Linked DNA regions of Oryzias latipes. The protein of the gene in region 1 interacts with the protein of each later gene in a pairwise test. Links are inferred from orthologs where the notes say so. Each region holds a gene or a part of one and is shown in the gene's direction. Other genes may lie near its edges. The genes, in order: rnf5 and slc38a7.

Region 1 (12,522 bases):
GCATTAGGGAGATGAGTCTAAAGCTGGAAAATGAAGGTCTGGAGTCCCACTCCGATCATCATTTGATCTATTTTCAAAGCACTCCCAGTGGTCTTTTAATTACTACGATGACGTTTTTTAGCCAAAATCCAAAAACATTTTGTTGTCTAGGACATCATTTCTGTGGTGGAGCAGCAGGAGTTTATTAGAAATTCACCTGTGAGTTGTGCGTGGTAGTGTTGGTGCACAGTGAGCCCGCCCCATTTCCCATCATTCATCTGTTTGCACACCTGCTAGCTCCCCCTCACAACCCCAACCTAACACCACCAGTGCAACAAAAATTGGAGCTGGTTTAGATCCAGATGCCAGCTCAGGCGGGGACGCACGTGGATTGGCCGCCTCCTGAATCATGCAAGCAGCTGTAACGGTTTTTGAGCTCCGTCAATTTTTACCGCCAATTCCTCAGCAGCTACAGTCAGGTGGCTTCTCTTCTCCACTTCATCCCAGACTCATTTTCTCTGGTCTGGGCTGAACATCCGTTTCGTGTGTTCACTGACCACAAGAATTTGGAATATTTAAGTTCAGCCAAGAGACCTAATTCCCATCAAGCCAGGTGGTCACTGCTTTTTTAAATTGCTTTCTCTTCTCCTTGTAGACCAGGAACTAAGAACATTGAAGCAGATTTCCTCTCTAGGAGAGAAGACAGGGACCCGGAGTGCCTGGAACCTGGTTTTGTTCTTCCATAGTCTGCCCAACTGGCTGTCGCAGTGTCTGATATCGAGCCTGAGCTGTTTGTCACCTCAAGTATATAATTTATGGAACTTATTTTGAATCAACTTTATAAGGAATTAGTAGAAATCGAGTTTTGTTTGCAGAGTTTCTGTGTCGTCTGATGCATTTATCTGCTTTTTGTTTTAAGGTTCCACAGCATGAATCAGGCGTTTGAACTTTTTTGTTTCAGTTGTGTGAAAATGACGAAGAATATGTTGAGATTATAGGAGCAGGAAGTAAACGAGGTGAAAGAAATCCTATAATCTGAAAAGCTAAAGCAGCTGAAGTTGCTTAGTCAATTCTCTCAATTCAATGTAATCAATGATTTCAGCTTCAGTCCTAAATGTGGTTCACCTATCATCCAGTAGATTAAAAACAAAGATGCACCAAAATGTTTTGGGAAACTGCACTTTTGTGTTTAAAAAATAGATTTCTACCAATCAGAAAATTTGATGTTTTTATTTTATTTTAAAGCGTTAGTCATGAGTGGACATTAGCTCATCATACAAAAGACACAATGGATTCTGTGGCTGCAGTGGTTAGCGCTCTTGCCTCACAGCAAAAAGGCCCCCGGTTCAAGTCCCGGCTGGGGGACATGAACCAGAACATCAAGCCTTTCTGTGTGGAGTTTGCATGATCTCCCCATGTATGTGTGGGTTTTCTCCAGCTTCCTGCCACTGTCCAAAAACATGCTTTATAGGTTCATCTAAATTGTCCCTAGGTGTGTGATTGTGGACGCTCTACCCTGCGACACACTGGCGACCTGTCCAGGGTGCCCCCTGCCTTCGCCCATAAGTGGATGGGATAGGCTCCAGCAGCCCCATGACCCCGAAAGGGACAAAACGGAAGAAGATGAATGAAGAATGGATTTTGTTTGATAACCATCAGTATGACAGAGTATGATGTTCATATTTCATTTTTTTGGGGTAATTCAGTGAGTCCACATCCTTTTGTGCCTCCGGAGTTGAGAGGATTGATTTTCTAATGAACTGTCGGCAGCTTTGAAATATGTGTCTGTGAGCTTGCCTGTTAATTTTGTATCCGAGCAAAGGAAAAGAAAAAAAAACAACAACCCACTTTTCCAAAGGTCGTTTAAAAATTTTGGGAGTAATTTTGGAAAATACTCTTGTAGTAAAATCTTTTATTCTGAATTGTCCAAGAATCTTCTGGGATTTTTTTTCCTAGAAAAAACGGCTCATTTTTCTGCTTCATTCAGTATTTGTCCCGGTGGGAGTGGCTGTTCGGTCCCCCGCTGTCCTCTGCTTCTTGTGTCTGCTTCTTTTTCTCTTCTCCCCCGGTTCTGTTTTTTTCAGAGGGGGTGTGGGTGCTCCTTTCTTCTTCTTCTTCTTGAGGCAGCTCAGAGGGTTGGGGTTGCTCTGTTTCCTCTTCCTCTTCCTGCCCCGGCTCTCTCCGTCCTTGCTGCTGATGCCCTGCTCCTGTTTCATGCTCTGGATGCTCTTCTGCTGAGCAGGGCTCACCAGCTCTCCCATCTGGACGGCCTGGACATGACTGAGGGACGCCTGGCTGGGCTTGTCCAGCACAATGGTGTTGAGGATGATGTAAAGCAGAGGAACACCTGGAATCTTCTTCAGGCCTGCAGTCACCGTATGATCCTGTAAAAATATCACACCGAAATCTAATTTTACCAGCTACTTCCTCTGATTATGAGATTGCTTTAAGACTGAAACGTACATTTATGGATCTATTACGATTATATTTTAAATGGCTTTTATTTTGAAAGTATTCTGATTCACACAGGAAGCTAAACTTTCATTTCAGGTGCTAAAATTTGATGACTAACATACGTGATGAGTTGCAGCCCTGAAAGTCTTTATTAGGATTATGACGGGAGAGGATCGACTATTTATTGTTTTTTTGTGTGTGTGTGTGTGTTTTTTTTAATATATATCAGTATATTTTTCCTGAATTTTTGTCTTTGAAAATCATAGGGTGTTATTTGGTCATTGCTTTATTTCATAAATAATGTTATTTATATTGTTATACAGATCATGAATGAATGAAACTTTATTCATACAGCACTTTACTACTCCTTGAAGGTACCAAACGGCTTCACAATAAAAAAAGAGATCTAAAATGGGAACGAAAGTTTTAACCTAAAAACTCTAGAATATTACGTTTAAAAAAATTTTTTTCAATCCAAATGTTTTCATCTACATTCCATGTTATTTCTTTCTCACTCCACACATCTGCTCCTGGTCCGGCCCTTCGGTCCAAATTTTATAACCCAATGTGGCCCACAAGTTAAAATAATTGCCCACTCCTGAGATAAACCAACAAGAAAAATGTTCAAAGATTTTTAAAAAGGGTTTGTCACATGGGCCATACTTTAATTTTTATTTGGGAAAAGTAAATTTCCATAAATGGTTTGGTTTAGCAACAGTTTGTTTTCCTCCTCTAGTTGTTTTCCAAATCTGAGGCCATAAGAGACTTTTCTTTTTAAACCCTAAAAATCATACTACAATAAACACAGTAAGTGACATTTAGGTTTTTTGTTGCTGAAAGTCAATAATACCCTTTTATGTTTCAAAATGAACCTTACTGCCGTGTTTCCAGTCATCCCTTCAATGAATGTGTATTGTTTTTGCAATCTAGGGAGTTAAATGTTAAAGAGCAGAAAGTTTTCTGATCCTGACAGTTATATGCAGCACCTTGTGTTCAGATTTTCTTCACTAAACTGAAAATCTATGCGGTTCTGCTTATTAATAAGTGAGCTCTTCGTCCATTTAAATGTACCTGCGTGGCAACAAAGTAATGGTGCGGGTTTGTGTCCTCCAGCATGGACAGCAGGCACTCTGACGCAGGAACCGGGTCCTTGAAGTGAGCACATTTCCTCAGCTGGAACCTCTGCAGAATAATTTTGGCTCCATAAAGCTGTTTTCCGAGAGTATCGAGTTCTTTCAGAGCGCAACTGTGTGTGAAAACGAATAAAACGGATTTAAAAAAAACAACAACAACCAAAGACTCTGAACACAACAACAGAGAATACCATTCGGTTATGTACGTACTTTGTGGTGCACAGCTGCACCTCACCCATTAGATATTTCGGCATTTGCTCTTTAATCTGAATTTTATTCTTCAACGCCGCCTGACAAAAAGTCCCGTCAATGAGGATCTGAAAAGGTTCCCTGAAGCTGAAGTTGTATTTGTAGAAGCTAATCGTTTTCTTGGCTTGTTTCTGTCGTTTGATCTTCATGTTCCGCCTTGAATAAAAAAAGAAATTAGCGAAAGCAAAAACAAAGCTTTAAACTTAAATTAATGTCTTCTTTCTGCAGTCAAAAAGGGTCAAAATAAGATCCTAAATCAGCGTGGAGCTGTACTCAAACGGTTTTGTGCGTAGGCCTAATAGCTCCGGAACGAAACAAAGATGTCTGCTTAAAGTTCCGGTTTTGAAACGGGGATGTTCATAAATGAGTCAATTAAAAAAATAATGTTTTAAATAAAAGACACTGTTTTTCTTTCTTTTAATCTTTAAATCTTTTTAATGTTTGGTTTTCAGATTTAACGGGTTCTGTCAGTTTAAAAAAATGCCTATCCCGGTTAATTTAATACAGTAAATGCAGTTATACATTTAATGTATTGAAGAAGGAAAAAAACGGTTGGGATATATAGTTATAATTTAACTTGAATAACAGAATTTTGAAATGTTAGTTTTTTGAAATTTTTTAGAAACAATTGTTTGTCTTTGTTTGTTATTTACATCCTGATTACTGACTGCCCTATTGTTTGTATTAAATTGATTCAAAAGAACACATCATTTTATGATAATTATCATTGTTGTCATTTCCGTTTGTTTTTTAAACATTTTATTAAAACAAGACACAAGACAATAAGTAAAAGAAAACACTTTAAATACTATGCAACTTGCACCACTGACAGTGAACATTATCAGTCAAGAGGTTAACAAGGTTTAATTAAACTTAATATAGAAAAAAAAACAAGACTCTTTGCTGTTTATTTAAAATCTTCTCAGTGTGCCATTAGTTATTACTGTTGTTGTCAGGTATTTGTGTGTGTATGAGTGTGTGTGTGTGTGTGTGTGTGTGTGTGTGTGCGCGCGTGTTTATGTGTGTATAAGTTTGACACATCACAATATTTGTTTTGTTTTGCCTTTCTTGAATTTATGAATAAGGGTTATTTAAAATAAAACACTACCGGATGTAACCTTAAACATTGGCCTTGCTTCATAGAATAGAAGAGAATAGAACTTTATTGATCCGGTAAAAAGTAATTTATTTTGATACCATAGTGCAATTGAAACCCGCAGATAGATGATAAACATTGAAAATACACTTAAAAAGTAAATAACCACGATAATCATTGTACAGTCTCCATGAGGCGTTTGTATTTACATTTTTAGCCCCGCCCCCCGACTCTTACAGCATTATTTTGACCGGAAACGGAAGTGGTTTCTCAGACAGCAGCAGCAGCCACAACTCAGTCCAAAGTGAAGACTGTACCATCAGTGTCGGACTCGGCTAACGCTAGTACCAGTCGGGCACGAGTGGCTTGGGTTGACTCAGTTCGGATTACTTCCCTTCGCTGTTCCGATAACCGTCATGGCGGCGGCGGATCCCCGCTACTCCAGAGGAGGTTTCCCCGCGGGGGAAAGCAGCAACGACCGCGACGGGCCAGGCGGCGGCAGCGGGGAAAGCGAGCGGGACCGGGCCACCTTCGAATGCAATATTTGTTTGGACACAGCCAGGGACGCTGTCATCAGTATGTGCGGACACCTGTTCTGGTACGAAACCAAAACAGTAGTTATTAGAGTGTGTGGGGGTGTTTTTCCATGATCTTTTGATGTTATTTGCCCGCGCGCGCGCGGCCTTCTTTAACGTCAGCTGTTGACGGCGGAGTCACGCCCCTCGCTGAAAACCACAATAATAATAATATTAAAAATAAGAATAAAGTACAAACTAATATTTTACAGAGGCAGGTCATAACTGTTTTACTGCATTACACCTAAACATTTTTTACAGCATTTTTATCAGCTGTCAGTCAAAGGTGACGTATTAATCTGTGACATATTAACTCTTATTGTAAATGCTTAGTGACCATTTCTAACTTTAACATCAGTCTGTGATGAGCCAAACTTGCTTCAGCTTGTTGCTGTGATTTAATCAGCTATTCTGTTTAAATCCACTTTAATCTGAACTGGCAGCTCACCACATCTGAAAGGAACCTGCGGCCAAAGACTTTCTAGCATTTTCTCCCCCTTGTGATCCAAACTTGCGCAACCTTCAACCTTCATGTTGTCGGTTCACACAAACTCAGTGGTTTTTGTGTGACTAATCTGGGAGTCGCTGATGTGACATCAGGGTCAGCAGGTTCCTATCAGCTGTAATCGAAAGCAGCGAAGGGTTCAGTGTGGAAACAAGCACAGGCTTGGACTTTGGTGGTTTAAGGCGGTTAACACATCAGAGATTGTTTATTGTGCAAAATCCAGAAAAGAATTGATCAAGAAGGACTAAAATCTAAGTGCAGGAAAATATAATCTTTGGAATGTATTGAAGAAGCTGTAAAAAAATGCAAATGTACATTTTCCTTCAACAGTTCTTGCTCATTTGGGGGGGGTTTGCAATAGAATAAAAACAAATCATGAAAGTGATTTATTAAAAATGTTTAACATGTTCTTGTGGCATTTTTCCGATGAAAGAGGACAATTATAGAGAAAATTAAACATTTTCTGAGTATTTTGTTATTCAAATCATTGTGAATCAGGAGCAGAATTTTAAAAAATTCAGTTTGAAAAAGATCGTATTTGTGACAGAAAATAAACTGGGCGGGCCATAAGCTCACAGATTAAGTTGGGGTTGTGTGAGGGGCTGTAAGCCAGCAGGACAGCGTGTAGACAGATGCATGATGGGAAGTGGCATAACAGCACCATCATAATTAAAAGGGAACTATTCATCAATAGATCAGGTTGTAGAGCGACTCTGATTACTGTTGGTTATATTTCCTTTCATTTTCTTTGCTGGCTTTTGTGATGTCACAGCCGATCGTTATTAAAACCGCTTCTCATTTCTCTTTCTGCGCTTCCTGTACTCTGTTTGAAAAGCTGGAAAATGTATATTTGATATGGCTATGATTGTCAGAAGGAGGCGATGAAGCCAGTTTTGTCTTTAAGCTGCTGAACAGAAATAGAAAAAGTTGGTAAAACAGAGAAAATGTTAGACATTCAGGAAACTTTGAGACATTTAAAAAAATAAATCCACACATATATTTGCATTTATTGTATCCATTATATGTCTTTTAATATAGTGTCACTCTTTTTTTAGAAGTTTGTAAATATAAAAACAAGTATTGGTGTGTTTTAGAGAAAATCTGTCCAGTTGAATGAATCGGTACAAACACGCCGTTTTTTTTCTCAGACAGAGGAAGGATTTCTGTTGTAGCTTAACCAGCCGTTGATTGCTGCTACTTAATATAAACAAAAAGAAGAACAAATAAAGTCTAATTAACTTAAAACCCCCAGAGGAAAAACCGCTCCGGAGCTCTCTGGGGGTTAAATCCCGGTCCAGTACCGGATCAAGTTCTGGTGGACCAGCTGGTGCGTGTCTGTGTTTGCAGCTCCCACGGCGGCGTGCGCTGATGTAACGTCGTTGCTATGTTACCCCCCCCCCCCCCCCCCCCCCAAATCTGTACGTAACATGATGAAACTTTGAAGCAAGGAGGTCAGTTGATGACATCAGCTCACCTGCTGCAACATCTCATCAAGCTGCTTGTGGAATAGGATTCATCATCATCTTTGACTTTTAGCTATGCAGTGTCGGATTTTCCACAAACTCTCACTGAAATGTGGTGTATTTTATTGTAAAGTAATATTCTGCTTAGATTAGTTTTTCAAGCCATCTCTGAGATGATTTCATAAACTGGTGTTTGGAGCCAAAAAAAATGCGTCTGACTTCATTGCAAAGGTAATCTGAAAAACACAAAATGATGAGATAAGCAGCTTTTATTTTGAAGGCACAAAGTCCTGCGGCTTCTCAGTTCAAATAAATCAGGTTTTTATCACTTGTTGCAGGTTAAAGTTGGTATTGAAACTCAGGATTTGCTCTGTGTTGATCCTTGATCCTAAATTGACTGCGGGGACGCCGATCCCCGTTTTTTAAACCCAAGCAGTGCAGATTACTGCGCCGGAGTGCTGCTGTGGTTCTGAAAGTCCCGCCCTTCTTGTTGGTTTGCATGCTCCAAGTTCCTTCATGACTAAATCTCAAAGCATTTCTAAAATGTGTAGATTTACGGTGGTTTAATGATATCTCTGCCTTAAAAAAAAAGCAAAAATCTGTTAGAAATGGAGGTTCATTTCAGTTTTCTTCTCATCACACACTAAATTCTTGGAATCAAGGCCAGTTCTGGGGAGCAAAAAGACTCAAACGAGTTCCTGAAATGAGACTTTTTAATGTGAAAGGATCGTAACCATTGCATTTTGGAAAAAGCTTCATGTTTCCTGTCAAAGTCACGAGGCTTCTCCTGGAGCCGGGCGGCTCCCAGAAAACGCCTGAGGGCCGCCGGGGCTGCATGGAGCAGTCCACAGCTTCTCATTGGAGCAGGCTTGGAAGTCATGCAGATTACAGGGATCTGATTCCATTTTTAAAATTGTTTCAAATGTTTTGAGTTAAGATCGAATCATTTCTGACGGATTTATTGTTTGAAATGTCTGTCTAAACTAATAGCCTCCTTTCAAATCTCTGAATCGCAGCAAAATTGCTTTTAGAAGGGAATAATTTGTTGTCTTTTCTCCTGTTTGCAGCTGGCCCTGTCTACATCAGGTGAGTCCATCCTCTGTTCTTTTCCCAAACAGCTTCTGACTCGATCTTTGAAGAGAAATAAAACTGGATCCTTATATTTTTGGAGTTTTTTTGAAAGATTCAGACACATTTCTACAGAAAAACTTAGGCTCAAGGCAGCTTCTTCTTTTGGGTCTGATGTACTTGGTCATGTTTAATGACATTTTAATCGATTTCAGTGAAAAGGTTTCATTTTTTGTCTTTAATGATAAAAGGCCGAAGGTTTTTCTGCATCTTTTGTGGGCCAACGTAAACGGCAGGACATTTTATTTCAACTTAAAATAAAAAAGGCTTCCAGATATTTAAAGCGTTTGTAGATCAGTGTTACCATGTGAACCACCGAGTCCAGATTGCGTTCTAATGGCAGTAGAGTTTTGTGCCGATGTTTGTATTTAGGCTGAAGGTGTTTGTTGTAAACAGTTCGGCGTCTCCACAGAGAAAGTGGAGGTAATGGGCTTAAGCGGCGCTCCTGACGTGACGTCGGCGTTAAAGCTGCACCGTGTGACACTAATGACCTTAACGGGTCTCGGTTTGCTGATGCGACATGAGCGCAGCCGTTGGTCTTCAGTCCGTTCCTGCAGGAACAAACATTTTGTCTCGTTGGTGGAAGCGGCGTCAGATCCGTCTTGTCCTTCTCAGTGGTTGGAGACGCAGCCCAGCAGGCAGCAGTGTCCGGTGTGCAAGGCGGGCATCAGCAGAGAGAAGGTCATCCCGCTGTACGGACGGGGAAGCTCCAGCCAGGAGGACCCCAGGTTCGCCGCCTGTGTTCAGTCCCATTGGAGGGGGGCGTGGCCTCTCTGTGACGGGCTGTTTGTGTTGCAGGTTGAAAACCCCACCCCGGCCTCAGGGGCAGAGGACGGAGCCGGAGAGCAGAGGCGGGGTGAGTCTGCGCTTTCCCACGCCTTCCTCTGAAAAGACTTTTTCCGTTTGTACTCCCCTCTCAGATTTTTACCTTTTATGCAACACGAAAATACCCTTTTAACCACAAAATCCCCACAAACGTGTGACGCAAAACCTAAAGCAGCCTCTAAATGTTCCTTCACATGACTTTCCTTCATAATTTCAGGTCAGATGTTCCTCCAGCTGTTGTAGCTTTTGACTGTCGGGTTTGTCTTTGCGCTCAGATGTTCCAGGGCTTCGGGGATACCGGTTTCCACATGTCGTTTGGCATCGGCGCTTTCCCCTTCGGCTTTTTCACGACAGTCTTCAACGCCAACGACCCCTTCCACAGAGCAGGTACACAGCGGTCCCCTAATCAAAGAGGAAAAAAAAACCACAACCAACCTTTTATCCAGTTTTATTTCGAATCTGATTCTGAAGGAAGTTTTATTTTGAAAAACGACCAGTTTCTCTCCACCAGTCTCTCTGTCTCATGTCGAAAATGCATCAGCTACTTTGTTAAAGCGGCCGCACCGACTGCTAAATTAAAACCTTCAAGCTAGCAAAGTTAACGAAAAAGAAAGTTATGTGGAAAGATCCAGAGAGGAAACTGAAGAGCCTTCCCCTTCAAAATAAAATAAATCTGCTTTCAACAGACAACAACCAGGAAGGAGTCTTTACTCCAAATATGGATTTATTGTGACAGTTGGTCCCACAGACCATAATAATAATGCAGAATAATCGTCAACCAGCTGTCTAATGTTATAAGGATGCTGCTAATAAAGTTCTTCAAACAGTGGATTCTCGTTAAGATTATATTTTTTTAAAAATCCAGTTTTCACGATTGTTTTTTGTATTTTTCCGTCTCATCTTAAAAGTCAGAAGAGGCTGAAGTTGGCGTCTTCTGCTTTTATGGTCACGGCTTAAACTTTATTTCACATTTTAATGGTTCCTACAGGAAATCAAGTGAACAAATCAATATTTTACAGAGAATGAAGATAAACTTCTGTCTCAAAAGTTCAGAGAAACAAAAAAACTCAAATCAGACGCCCATGTCGGCCTCGTACAGGACGGTCTGCAGAAATGTCTGAAAAAGTTTGGGGATTCATTACATTAAATGTGGAATTTTTCTTGCCTAAAATAAATCCAAATTTAGATTTTTTTTAAACTCACTACTTCAATTTGAAAGTCTTTTCTTTCTTGTTTACCTTTAGACCAGTATGCAGGTGATCACCAAGGTAACGGGAACGGCAACAACAGCTGGCAGGACTCGCTCTTCCTGTTCGTGGCCATCTTCTTCTTCTTCTGGCTGCTGAGCGTGTGACTGACCTGGAGAGGAGGTGGTTTTACCGAAATCGGAAACGGGGAGGGAGGAGTGCAGCAACACACATGAACACACACACACACACCTGGACAGGTTCCTCCTCCCGTAGTCACGTCGCCGCAGCACAAGCCCCCGCCTGCTCGTCGTTTTTTTTATGCCTGGCGACGTGGAACCCCAGAAATCGGTCGTGGCGGTCGTCTGGGCTCACAAAACATTTTAGGAAGTGGAAATGTTTGGGTTTGGCGTTCAGATTCAGTATTACATAATCCGAATGATCAGATGGATGAGGTCACTTCATTCATCAGATTACCAACTCCTCTTTATTTAGAGGAGGGGGGGGCTCTGTGGGCAGATGTGGATTGGCCATGGGGGGTGGGGGGTTAGGAGTGCAGCCAAGTTCCTGTTCAGTCTCCATGGGAGCCTCCTCCAAACATTTGTCTTAACCCGTTTCTCCTGGTGGAGGTCGCCTGAAGGCGGAGCCGCCCTGAAGGCGGAGCCGACCTTCCTCTTCAGACTAACTAAAAGTCAGAGCTTCGCCTCCCACGAATTGCATAACCGACTTGGCCAGAACGCCACGACCGGCAGAGAGAATCCTCAGAAACCACTATAGATATTTCCGAGATTTGAGTGACGGCTCGCTCGACCGGCACCGCCCCCTTTTCCAAAGCTACAGGATTGCGAAACACTTGTGGATTTTTGTGAGTGCGTATGTGTGCATACAGTATATATTTGTATATATAAATATTGTACATGCTGTGACTGGATGGGAGAGCCCTGGAGAAGATGTGCGACTGTGAAGTGTTCAAACTGTCTACTTCCTGGAATACTCTCGTCATACGTGTTACTCGGGTACTTAAATGTCTAACCTGTAAATTCTGATGAAAGATTAAAAGTTTGACTGCCTTTCACTCTAAAGGTGAATTCCTGCTCATTCAAAGGGGATGTGGGTCACATGCGTAGCCAGGAATGGACTATTTGCTGGTTTCCTCTCTAGATGCCATTGCTCTGAGTGCTGACTGCCATCTACAGACCAAACCAGCCCATGAAGTCCTTAGATGTTTGTGACTCTAGTCGTGCTTTGAAAACCAGATGTTTTAGTCAGATCTTCCATTGTTCTCCATGAATGCCTCCAGGGGACCCTGCAGCTCCACCGTCCAGACTCATCGTCCCTGAAATGTGCAGATCTGGAGATCTTTCACCTGGAAGTTGGACTGAAAACACTTTTCATTTCATGTCCCGCTGCGGGACGGACACAAACAATCTGCTTGGACTCTGATGTTTCTGATGGGTTTAGCTGCGTTTGATAGGAAAGTGGTTTAACGTGACGCTAAATTACCGTGTTGGCTTAAGGACTGTTGTACAAAACCCAATGGTCTCAGATTAAAACTTGAATTAACCAAAGTCATTTTGTCTTTTTTTTTCCAAACGTTTGATCACAAAACACAATTGAAATTTGATGAAACAGCAAGCAGGAGCTGCCCGACGTCCCCCTTTTAAACCTGCCATTCGGAATTTTAAAAAAAGCCTTTTTTTTAAATAGTGACTTTTGTTTGTTTTATCTCCATAGCAACTATTTTACTTTTTAGTTGTCCATAAAATGTAAACTTGTTCACGCATTGCCACAAAAAGGCAGCATTGCCGTAGGCCCAGTACCCATCCCATAATAATGTCAAAACTCCCTTTGAACATCTCCAACACGTGTTTTGGTTTCATTAGTGGATCTTAAAACATTTTTGAGAGATTTTTGCCCATTCAGGTTAT
Region 2 (12,474 bases), on another chromosome or scaffold:
ATTCCCAGGTGGGGGTCAACAGGTCTGACTTCATGACATTCTAACATTTGATGTATTAAGATTTGACGTGCATTTTCTTTTGTCAAGTTATTAACTAATAAAACAAAACAAAAAAAACTACAATAAAACATCAAATGGACGAAATGCTTCCTCAAAGATGGACCTGCTTCCACCTTCCTCTCCGACCGCAGCTCTTCAACCTTTTAGAACTCCAAAGATCATCAGCAGCACTTTAGTTGGAACTTTAGAATCACCTCAGAACTACCTTGCTCTCAAAGGCCAGTGGTCCTAATCTAATCTTCCCAGCAATCGCCGCAGCAACACAGTTTCCTGCTGATTGTCTTCATGGCAGGAGTAAAGGAGTCGATGTGGAGGGGATTTTAACAAGGTTGTTCTTGTTAAGCTCAGGTTTGCGGCTGATCTTGTTTTTGGACTTTGAGACTCCAGATTGGATTATGTTTGCTGGTCCCACTCAGCAGTGTCATTGGGTCACATGAAGTGAGGGGGCTAGATTTGAAAATGAAATCTACAGCTGCTAACAGAAGCAGGGTGGTGGTAGTTTAACCACACAAAGGTTCAGGAATGTTTTCATGCACGAGTAAGACTGCTGCCTATCACAATGTACGTGCGGATGATTTCAGTGTTCTCATACCATCATCATTTTTTTTAAATTGTAGCTCATGGTGGGGTGGAGTGCAGATGGGGCCCCCTGATCCCATTCTCGGGGTGACAGAAGCCTTCAAGAGGGACACCAACCCGAAGAAGATGAACCTTGGAGTAGGAGCCTACAGGGATGACCAGGGAAAGCCCTTTGTGCTCAGCTGTGTTCGCAAGGTACAACAGTCAATGCAACCAACGACTTTGCCCCTTTGACATGTTTTGTCTCTTTTACCGCCCGTGGCACTTTTTCCACCCCTGCTTTACTGTGGATTGCTAAACAGTCTGTAATCGAGTGGGGAGGTTTACAGTTTCATTGGGTTTTAACTGTAGAGAGGTTGGAGCTCAGGCAAGCTTCTGATTGGTAGTTGTGAGCCAATAGAAAGGCCTCCTGGCCTGGGCAGGTCAAGTCTTCTGGTTCACGACATTGAACTCATTGTTGTTCCTGATAAAGTGTTCTGTACGTAACCATAACAGCTTTGTGGGATAAATTGAGAAACACTTAAAGTTCTTATAGTTATTTTTACAATGTGTAGATGTCAGCAGAAATGATCTAAATAAAGAGGTCAGTTTTGGCATTTCAAGAGTTTTAAATAGTAAAATTAAATGTCAAGTGTTTTTTTTTTTTTCCTTTTTTAAGACCAACTGTAAGGGATTTCATTTTCTTCGAAGGCCGAATCTTTGATTGCAGCCAAACAGCTGGATAAGGAGTACCTTGCCATTGGGGGTCTGGGTGAATTCACCAAAGCCTGTGCCCAGCTGGCTCTTGGAGCAGACAGTGAGGTTTTAAAAAGCGGCAGGGTAAGTTGGAGAAGTCTGTTGATCCAACTTGAGAATAAATCAAATATTTTGTATCCTCATAAGTGCTTCCATATGCGTGCCCCAACAGAGCATCACTGTTCAAACCATCTCAGGCACAGGATCTTTGCGCATAGGAGGCAACTTTTTGGTGAGTTTCAACAGCACCACCACCCCAGACAAAATAAACTGACGTACATTTACTGCTTTCAGGGTTTGCTGCTTTTGTCATCATTTTTTTTTATCCTTCTTATTTTCAGGCTAGATTCCACGCAGGTCCACATGACGTGTATCTGCCAAAGCCATCCTGGGGAAACCATACACCCATCTTCAGAGATGCTGGCATGCAACTCAAAGCATACCGCTACTATGACCCTTCCACCTGTGGCTTTGACTTCAACGGAGCTCTTGGGGATATTTCTGTAAGGCAACTGATTGGGTCCAGATAGATTGCATTAGAGATCATTATCATCGTAATGGTTTTTAAAAAAATATATCTATCTATATCTATATAGATATATAAAGCCCCTTTTAACCTCCCCCCTCCTTATGGTCTTGTGATCAGTCTGACAACTTGGTTCTAGATTTGTTTTGAACAGTTTAGGGGCAGGATGTAAGATATCAACAGAAATCAAAGATTTTACTGCAGTATTACAGTTTTTGACAAGATGCAAAGAAACGTCTTGAATACCTCTTCAAAAAATGCACTGGATTCAGATTCTCATGAAAATGAAGATTGGGTTTAAGAATTAAGTCCCCTAGGAAAAATTACTATGCCTTTTTTTTCCCCTCTTTAGCACGACATTAGTCAGAATCATTTTGATTCTAGTTTTCATCACGGTGTTGCCTCTACTTTAACACAATCTGCCATTGTGTGTACAGCGTTGCCTCATAATATTCTTTAATATTAGACTTATTTTTCTATGAAGGTTTGAACTTTAAGAGTTTAAACAACGAAAAAAAAGTGTAAAAATGTTCATGTTTTTCTGAGAAGTGTATACTGTGTAGTGAGGTTTTTTATTTTACAGCTTTAAAACATCTCTAATTCAACTTTGCAGATGTTACATATTGCCGGTTATTTTTTTGAACGTAACCGCCACAATAAACGAGGGATCAGTGTTTAACAAGTTCTTATAAAAACATTTTAAGATAAAATGTTCAGTAACAAGTTTAATCACGAGTCTCTAGTATTTTACTGTTTAGGTTGACAAACTTTAACCTTTTATGTGATAGAAAATCCCAGAGAAGAGTGTGATTCTGTTGCACGCATGCGCCCATAACCCCACCGGCGTGGACCCCAGGCCTGAGCAGTGGAAGGAGATTGCGCAAGTTGTGAAGGTACCTAATTGTGGTATATTGTGTTAAAGGTGGTTTTTTTTTGTGTCAACAAGTTGTTTTCACTGTATGTCCCTGTTGTGATGTGACTCTTGCAGAAGAGAAACCTGCTGCCATTCTTCGACATGGCCTACCAGGGCTTTGCAAGTGGCGACATTGATCGCGACGCCTGGGCTGTGCGGTACTTCATCGAACAGGGACACAACATCGTCCTGTCACAGTCCTTTGCCAAGAACATGGGACTCTATGGTCAGTCCACTAAGATTAAGACCTTTAAGACCATTGAGATTTGAAGGATCACTATGGGGTTGTAGCACTAAAGAAAAATGCTATCATGTTTTGCTGCCATCTAGTGGGCAAATATGCATATGACTTTTAAAAAAAAAAATCATTGAAAAAAAATCTACATGTCAATCCAAAACTAGTTAGTAGCACCATTGTGGATCCTTATGCAGCAGCTACTCTTGTAGCTGAAGTTGTGCTGTTAATTTTTTAATCTTTGCAAAGTGTTTGACTCTCATTGAGTAATCTGGCTCAATGTTCTGACGTGCACCCACAGGTGAGCGCGTGGGAGGCTTCACTGTAGTCTGCAGCGACGCAGAAGAAGCAAAGAGGGTGGAGTCCCAAATCAAGATTCTCATCAGACCCATTTACTCCAACCCACCAGTGAATGGGGCCAGAATCGCTTCCACGATTTTGAACACTCCAGAACTTTACTCAGTCTGGTACAAACATAAAATGCAGTCACTTCTTCTTCTTCTTCTTCAAAAAAGTTGATCCCTCATAAACTTCAAATGAATAATTTTCCAGCTTTTTCTTTTAACAGCATTCTTTGTTTTGTGTGGACTGTAGGCTGAAGGAGGTGGATTCTATGGCCAAACGCATCATTACAATGAGGGAGCAGCTGGTGGAAGGTTTGAAAAAACACGGATCTTCTCACAATTGGCAGCACGTCATCGACCAGATTGGGATGTTCTGCTTCACAGGCCTAAAGCCTGAGCAGGTACTTTAACATTTTGGGTCAAATTACAGTACACTTATAGGTTTCCTTGTCTCACCAAGATGAAATAGTAAAACAATGTTGCCGGTTTTTGTAGAAAACCTAAAGGAAGTGGGTGTTTTAAAAATTTGACTTGATGCATGTTGTTCTGTGCTTGCAGGTTGAGAGGCTGACTAAGGAGTTTTCTGTGTACATGACCAAGGACGGTAGAATTTCCATGGCAGGCGTGACCTCTGGGAATGTGGGATACCTCGCAGAGGCAATCCACGCAGTCACCAAGTAGACTGTTTTCTGTTTGGAGAGCGACAGAATCAAAGCTGCAGAGTTGAAGAGGAGCTTTTATGCATCACTTCTCCAGCCCACCTTTAGAGAAGAGCTCATTGTTTAGTAATACATTCTCGTATGGATTTCATGATTTCATCGTGGAACGGTTGCTGTTTTTCCAATTACCTGTTCAGAACTTTCCTGTCAACATTCTCCCCTGCTTAGCAATGACATATTTCTTTCTGGAGTAGATGTCACATTTATTTATTAATTGGGATTAATTGTCGTACCATTTGGTTTTTCTGATTGTTACCTTCTCTGCTGTGAGCCCTGTCATCATGTAACACCCAGAAATAAAATCACTGGGCAAAGGCTTGCTGGCTTTATGTGTCAGGAAAAATGCCTGTTACTCTGTCAAATCCTGTAGGATTCTTTTTTCTTCTTTTTTTGTTGAAATGGTGGTGGTGCAGCACTTTATGTTTTATGGCACTATTTGATCTTGTCACTGGGCTTGGCTGTCTAAACAGGCATTCATCAGGTTATCAGTTTGCTTTAATTTCATCAGCCCTTCGGTAGTTTCTGGCTCCATGTAAGGAAAACCTCGCATGTTCCTTTTTTTCTGTCTATCTGTTTAAGCTCCCCATTCAAACAGGAAAGAGTTAAGTGTAAAGAATAGATTCAAATTCTGTGTGGATATATTTTTTTTTTTTATCAAAGTTGGCATATATTGCCACCTTTTCACATGTTGACAGTGAAAGCTCAAACCTGTAATATTGATGATTGGAGTTCCCTTTTTGGGGGGTTAACAGTGGGATTTAAACAAAATATTAACCTATTGCTGAAGTTCACCTCCATTGTCTGCTTATAAATGGTCATTTGTCATAAACCCGAAAAAGAACAATAAACTGTAATGGAATGAGTATTTAAGTGTGTGCTGATTATTTTAATTATGTGTTTTTGCAGCTTTAAAACCTGTTTTTGTTAGGTATGAAGCGATTTGTTTTAATGATTCGATTCACATATTTTGTTGTTGCCGATCTGATTCACAGTCAATTTTGGATCATTTTGAACAATCGAATTCACTGACCTGAAATCGATCCAGGACATCTTTAGCCAAAATATCAGTGTGACTCAGGTACTGAACATTACAGGTGATGTTTTCCAGATTCCTTGTATTTTAAGTGTAAATATGTACCAACAAACAAGAATTCATGGTAAATCCATTCACATTTTAGATTCATAAAGTTCAGCCCACTGTTTTTTTCTACCTAGAAATAATCCAAATGAAACATAAAAAACCTTCTACCACATCATCACGTCTTTACAAAATTCTGTGTTTCCACACATTGGACTGTAATGATGGCCTGATCGATTTTTTGCTTGATCGTTTTTACGTTATAGTAACATGAACCCATGTCTCAATTCAAATGGTACTGTCCAATACCGATCATTGATCTAATTTAGAAACAATTTTAAGGGTTTAGGTCGATCCAGTTGGATTCGAATAACAACTTGTCTCAGACAGATTGATCTGGTTGGATCGTAGGTATAGAAATTGATTAATCCATTTAGCGCTTATTTTTTACACCCCTAGTTTTCATTATTTTTAACTTTGTGATAGTTTATCTGACACTTATCTTAATATTGATACGATAAAACAAATTTTTTTGTTTAATATTTATAAAATAAAAACGTGAAAAACATAAATTAAATGACTAGGGAAATGTGTAATAAACTACATAAAGTCCGTAAAGTTGAAATGGTTTGACACATTTAGCTACAACTCCCACAATTCAACAGAAGGTGAATTTCCGGTCACATGACTGTCACGTGCTCCTCCGCTTCTACGAGCGGCCAAAACACTACAGTCTGTGACCATTGCTAAACATAAGGAAATCACGACGGGACCAAACCGAATGTAAGTGTTAAAGACTGATTCAAACGTGACGCTAAAAACAGTTGTTTGTGTTGGTTTTGTCATTTGCTTGCAGCTTTTGTTAATTAGCTTTTACGAAACAAAGACAAAGAACAAAGCTGCCTTGGCCATTGATTCCCAGTGTAATTAAATTGTTAGCTCATTTTTTAAAACAGAAACCGGGATTTCATTCACGGTTATTGGTGGGGCTTTCTTTTTTTAAATCTTTTTTTTTTTCCTTTAGTAATTTTGCTTTCAGATTCGACGTTAGTACATGTCATACAAGGGCAATGTCCTCCTAATGAAGGAAGAAAAAATAGTCATTTTAATTTGAACATAAATAAATGGACTTTCAAAACAAAAGCATGAATTCAATGAGTTAAGGTTTCCTCCTGTTTAGAAGTACAGTACATAAGTGATTGTAGCGCATATTTTGTGTTTGTAGACTGCACAAGCCAGCCTGCTTTTGATTAAGACTTTTATTTCAGTAGGTTTGCATAAGAATCTATTGGTTTGTACTGAAAATGTTTAAATAAAATGTGTTTAGGAGTACTTTTGGGTATTAATAACAGAACACGTTGTCTTATTTATAAAAAAAAAAGTCAGAAAAATTAAAGGTTAACACTGGTGTGCTGCTGTTATGGTTTTTGTTGCTCATTGATAAATAATACATCTTTTTCATGATGAATGTTGACAGTAACAAATTCTGTCTATGTTTGACTCTGAAGGCTAACTTTCTGATGGCGATTAACACTGATGTGGAAGACTGGGGTGGTACCGGCAGCAATGATGCTGGAGAAAGGGCATGGCTCCTGCAGAGCCCCAGTGTGGACTCTGTCCAGCACCCGGAGATGGCTGAGAGGAGCAGGGGCGTTTCAACCCTGGGAGCCGTGTTCATTGTTGTGAATGCAGCTCTGGGCGCAGGTCTACTCAATTTTCCAGCTGCTTTCAACATGGCGGGAGGAGTCACTGCAGGAGTGGTGCTTCAGATGGTAAGGAGAATGGTGTACTATCCTTGATAAGTGTTTTCTCCCCCGGTCTCCCTCACAATCACATGTTGTGCTAAAAGCTAAACAAACAGCTTCAGATTTGTTGATTTTGGATCTAATCAGATGTACTTGAGTGGATTTTCTAGCCTCTGGAGAAGACAAACGGAGACAAACAAAAAATCTAAATGCCTTATAGCTTTGGATCGTAAAGCAATTTAAAAGGCCTCTGTTCTTTATATTCAAAGGTGACAAATTGCATTCATTTTCTGCATTATGTTAACCCTTTGTTTCCTGCTTCTGCTTTACAGTTTATGCTGATCTTCATCATCAGTGGGCTTGTCATCCTGGGCTACTGCTCCCTCGTATGTGCTTTATTTTACATTCATGTTGTGTTTTGTTCCACCTGACATCGTGTGCAGCTTTTGGTCTTATTGTTTTTCTCCAATTCTTGGTCATTTTAAGAAAACGTATTGAAAACAGAATGCTTTTGCAAATTGTGAGGTTCTTCTTGAAGCTTCAGCGAAAAGCTGGACTTTCACTTCCTTAATAGCTCAGACATAAGCTCATGTGCTAAATATGCGTAGTGATAAAGTGTCAAATCAGCAGCATTTATCTATTTTCCTAAATGTGTACATTTGAAAAAGTTATAGTGTGTTAATAGATTTTTAGAAAAGTTCTTAGAATAGCTTCTTTCAAGGACTAATCTTATGGTGGAGCAGGTCTGTTACATTGAGCTTAGTCTGTTTGGCTGGTTAGAAACTATAAAAAAAGGAAATGGATATAAAGTCAAATTTATGTGTGAATACCTGGGGAGAAACACTTTACCAAAAGTGCTCATGCATGTTTTATATTTGTATTTATCTGTTTTTTTTCCAGGTCAGTAATGAAGCCACCTACCAAGAGGTTGTCCGAGCCACGTGTGGAAAAGTCACCGGAGTCTTATGTGAGGTAGCCATCGCTATCTACACTTTTGGTACCTGCATCGCTTTCTTCATTGTCATCGGGGACCAGCTGGATCGCTGTAAGTGCATTCAGGAGTGGGCAATCCTCCACTCACCTCCAAGTAATCTTAAATTGTGAAGCACTGTGCTGTTTTCAACAGTGGTGGTTAGGTTTGGTTTTTCTCTATTTAGTTTAGTGGTGGTATAAAGTAAAGCTAGTGCAGGGATTGACGAGGGCAAAGAGTATCTTGGTTTAATCCAGTCAGCTTTTTTGCTCGGTGAGTGCGTCTCTCATGTGACAAACCTTCACATATCCTTGAGCTGAGGAGCTGACTCAGTGGAAACGCTTCATATCTGCTGTTTGTTCAGATGTTTACATTTTATTTCCTGCACAGTTATTTTCACATCTACAATTTCTACGTGAAAACTTTCTGTAATCATTGATTGTTGCTGCAGTGATTGCTGCTGTAGAGGATAAAATAGATGGAAAAGTCAGTAACCACTGGTATACTGACCGCAAGTTTACCACCGTCATTACTGCGATCCTGGTCATTCTTCCTCTCTCCATCCCCAAAGAGATCGGCTTTCAGAAGTATGCAAGGTAATCCTAACCTTTTACAGTTATTTGAAGCTTCTCCTTACATGGAGAATTAAATCTTTTTAGAGAAGGTTGGGTTTGGTCATTCTGCATGAGGATCATCTCGTGTTTTCTTCTGTAGTACCTTGAGTGTAATTGGAACCTGGTACGTCACAATTGTGGTCATTTTGAGGTACATCTGGCCAGACAAAAAGGTGACTCCAGCTTATATTCCCACCAGGTAAATCCATTTTTATGACACTTCTTTTTAAAAAACGTTTTTACAGATAATTTGGCTGAAGTCATCTTCATATTTTCATCCCGGCTTCTTTGGAATAAATTGCTCTTTTTGTTTTTGTGACAGTTCTGCTTCCTGGACGGCAGTTTTTAATGCAATGCCCACAATATGCTTCGGTTTCCAGGTATTTCCTCATTTGTTGTGATTGACGTTCTAACATGATGTGTCCGGGAGGTTTTTATTTTTTAGTTTTTGCTGAAGTGTTCTCCTCTCATCCCCCCTGCAGTGTCACGTCAGCTGTGTGCCAGTGTTCAACAGCATGAGAAAGAAGGAGATTAAACCCTGGGGATTTGTCGTGACCCTCAGCATGATCATTTGCCTTTTTGTTTACACAGGAACAGGTATGTCATCGTGTATTAGCAATGCACACTCAATAGGATGCGGCATATCTTTTGAGTAGAGCTGCATCCCAGCCAGTCACTCAAAAATAAACAAGCTGATAAAGAAAGTCTCCTCGGTGCTGCAGACGGCATTCAATCATCCAAAGCACATTCATCTAAAGAAAATTGAAAAGGGTGCAAAACATGATGGACAGCAGCGTACATCCTTAGAAAACAATTTTTATATAGAAAAAAGCAAGTTTGAAAAAAAAAAAGATGCTTATGTTGTAATCTTGTTAAAAATACTTTGTTGAATGAAGACTTTTGTGTGGCAGGCGTTTGTGGCTACTTGACCTTTGGCTCCAGCGTGAATCAGGATGTGCTGATGTCGTACCCTTCAGATGACATCGCCGTGGCTTTTGCAAGAGCATTCATCGTCATCTGTGTGATCACCTCCTACCCCATTTTACACTTCTGTGGCAGGTAAAAAAAACAACAACTTCTCTTTCCTTCTAGTTTCTGTCAAAATAGAACATTTTAATAAAGAGAAATATTGGACACCACCCTCTGAGATAAACCTTCATACATAACAACTGATAGTTTGTATGTAAAAACCACAAGCTTTTTCAAGCTGCATTTTTTCATCTGCTCCTGATTCACAACGATTTGAAGAAAGAAATACTCAGAAATGCAATTTTAATATTATTTGCCTTTATCATAAAAAAGTTACAAAAACATAAAAAAACTCCATTTTCATTGGAGTGGGTCTTTAATTTATAGTTTTTTTAACTACCCCATTATACTCTCATTATTTTTCTACAAATAGCTCAAAGATAAATGATCTTTTTTCAATTACAACTTTACTTTTGCTTTGAGACAATAGCACTGGACGTTTGTGAAAACATCAAGGGTATCAACAGCAGTCTGCTATGATTAGAAAGAGGTTGAAAGACTCTCTGATGGTTCAGACAACAAAGATTCATTTGATCATTTTAATACAAAAAAATAAAAGTGGTTCCTTTTTGTGTTAAGAAGGTCATATAAATGCAGTCTTGATCAACAAAAAAAAAACTGAAGCTGAAACAAAGCAGAGCTGTCAATCAATCAGTTGATGAATCATTTAATCAGTTTTACTCTGCCATTGTCTACTTTGTAAGTCGATGCAAAATTTCCACTAAGCTGTGTGAATATTTAAAGGAGTCCTTTCTTTCACTTGTTCATTAATTTAGTTTAGTCTGTCTAGTTGGTTCAGTTTAGAATTTCCTTAATGAATTTTATGTATTCACAATCCTTTTGATTTTATGTGTACTTTACAATTACCGGTATGAAGCCCATTGAAACGACTGTTGCTGTGATTTTGGGCTATATACAGAAAATTGAATTGAATTAATGTTATTGATTATCCTTTTCAGCTGATACACTGAGTATGGCTAACATAATTTTTATTCAATAAACTTCTCATCTTTCATAATGCCAAATTTGTGGAGCATTTCCTCACTGCAGTCTGCTGTAATGGGGTGTCCCTGCAGGGCAGTCGTAGAAGGACTTTGGCTGCGTTTTCAAGGTGAACAGGTGGAGGTATGCGTGCGCCGCGAGCAGAGGAGGAGGATCCTGCAGACACTGGTGTGGTTTGTTGTCACCCTGGTCCTCGCCCTCTTCATCCCAGACATCGGCCGTGTCATCTCACTTATAGGAGGGCTGGCGGCCTGTTTCATCTTTGTGTTTCCAGGTGCGTCCTGTGCTCTCTTCTAAATACACTGTCCCTATCCATGACACACTGCAATGTTTGTCTGCTCTTTTACTAACAGGTTTGTGTTTGATGCAAGCAAAAATGTCAGAGACAGAGAGCCGATCTTTGAGGTGAGATGCTCTATTTTTTTTTCTGCTTTTGTGGAATATTTCTTTAAGTGTGATTGAAGCTTGCATTAGATGAACTGCATGTAAAGCTCTGTTACTGTGTCTTGAGACATTAAGTGAGATTTCCACAGTGTCTGTAGGCTTTTATAAAGTCCAAATTAGACGTATTTGGCTGAAAAAGGCCAAAGCTTAGATTACAAGTGCCTTTGACACATTAAGTCAACTTTTTATATTGGTACTACTTGGAAAAACGGCATACTCAAACCATGTTTTGTAATCTTTTGCTACAATTTTGTTTTTTTATAAACATTGGATGTTTTTATTCCCATGTAAACTGGGCTAATAAATCATGAGTTGCCTGCATTTCTGTTTACAGTTTTTCTCAGTCACTTTAGTACAATTCTCAGATCAGTATTGAACTTTGCAAATACGTGTGTGCATTTCTCCAAACAATTTGTACAAACAGCAAAACACTATGGATTTCTTGCAAAAGCCTGTAACTTGCTCAAAATCTTTAGTTCATCTCTCAAAACTAAGTCTTTATGTCATTGAACATCTCAGTGCCATCAGAATGTCAAGTCCTTGTGTCATTGTCTACGAACAAGACAGTCAAATTACTTAGTCATGTTGTCAATATAACTGTGTACTTTTAAGGGAGGTTCTGATGTAAACTATGGCTAAAGTTTTGATGACAATTATTGTAAAATGTAAGTTACACCTTTTCTGTTTGATTGCAAGAGACTGGACAAGATTCACATTTACACTTTTATTGTTCATATTGTAATTTGTTGACAGACCATGTCATACCAACATAGAAAAAACCCACTGCAAACAGTATCACAAAGGGAAAAAAAAGATAGGAAAATACTCTGTACGACAGTACAGGCAGTGCAGTAGGAAGTGGTGTGGTCTTCCTACACCTCTTGTTGTTCCTGTATGTTAGGCCACAAATTCTCATCCTCATCACAGCGAATATCCTCTCTTGAAATGCAGCGAAATATGTTTGTCACATTATGACAACTTGGTCAACCATTTTGCAGTTAATTACTTATACGATGAAATAATGACTAGGAGTTTTGAGGAGTAAGACTATTGCACAGTGAACTATATAATACATTTTGATCAACATGACATAAACAATTGATAATGTAGCAAAGAGCAGAGAATTGTACATAATCATTTGCATGGATGTACCAAAGCAATTGCAACTTGTTCAAAGAAGTGAGAAACTGCTTATATGATGTGCACAAGTGACATCATGATGTGAAGACTGAACAAATAGTTTGGGGAATTTCTTTCTGATCTGAGAATTGTACTAAAGCGACTGAGAAAAACTTTAAGTTAATAAATAACACCAAATTTGCATTTTAGGTCCCTAATAAAACATCAACTTTTTTCTGATATTAAGCAGCAGTTGCATAACAACGATAAAGGCTCCCTCTTTAAAAAGCTTTTATTTTGAAAAGCTGCGGTGATAGAAGCCCAAAATTGTAAATGGTATATTTTTCAGCACTAGGAAATGT

The links.
Region 2: the proteins of rnf5 (region 1) and slc38a7 interact in binary tests that used the Homo sapiens proteins (3 or more experiments, as listed by UniProt). The two-hybrid records come from large-scale screens. The link is inferred for Oryzias latipes from reciprocal best matches to the Homo sapiens genes RNF5 and SLC38A7.

The regions. Positions count from the first base shown.
Region 1 is NC_019869.2:5,388,616-5,401,137, forward strand, and holds rnf5 (E3 ubiquitin-protein ligase RNF5), read left to right. Parts: upstream 1-5,172; 5' UTR 5,173-5,327; coding exon 5,328-5,509; intron 5,510-8,521; coding exon 8,522-8,540; intron 8,541-9,197; coding exon 9,198-9,310; intron 9,311-9,380; coding exon 9,381-9,438; intron 9,439-9,682; coding exon 9,683-9,794; intron 9,795-10,651; coding exon 10,652-10,761; 3' UTR 10,762-12,162; downstream 12,163-12,522. Other genes in the region: rRNA-processing protein UTP23 homolog, read right to left, coding at 1,959-2,363, 3,505-3,679, 3,777-3,964. UniProt on the Homo sapiens protein: Membrane-bound E3 ubiquitin-protein ligase that mediates ubiquitination of target proteins. May function together with E2 ubiquitin-conjugating enzymes UBE2D1/UBCH5A and UBE2D2/UBC4.
Region 2 is NC_019861.2:21,810,784-21,823,257, forward strand, and holds the start of slc38a7 (putative sodium-coupled neutral amino acid transporter 7), read left to right. Parts: upstream 1-5,857; 5' UTR 5,858-5,972; intron 5,973-6,697; 5' UTR 6,698-6,709; coding exon 6,710-6,961; intron 6,962-7,266; coding exon 7,267-7,320; intron 7,321-7,834; coding exon 7,835-7,979; intron 7,980-8,355; coding exon 8,356-8,500; intron 8,501-8,618; coding exon 8,619-8,717; intron 8,718-8,840; coding exon 8,841-8,898; intron 8,899-9,000; coding exon 9,001-9,115; intron 9,116-9,429; coding exon 9,430-9,577; intron 9,578-10,623; coding exon 10,624-10,823; intron 10,824-10,902; coding exon 10,903-10,954; intron 10,955-12,474. Other genes in the region: got2 (aspartate aminotransferase, mitochondrial), read left to right, coding at 678-834, 1,330-1,458, 1,547-1,606, 1,716-1,877, 2,689-2,793, 2,889-3,039, 3,350-3,515, 3,643-3,793 and 1 more. UniProt on the Homo sapiens protein: Symporter that selectively cotransports sodium ions and amino acids, such as L-glutamine and L-asparagine from the lysosome into the cytoplasm and may participates in mTORC1 activation. The transport activity requires an acidic lysosomal lumen.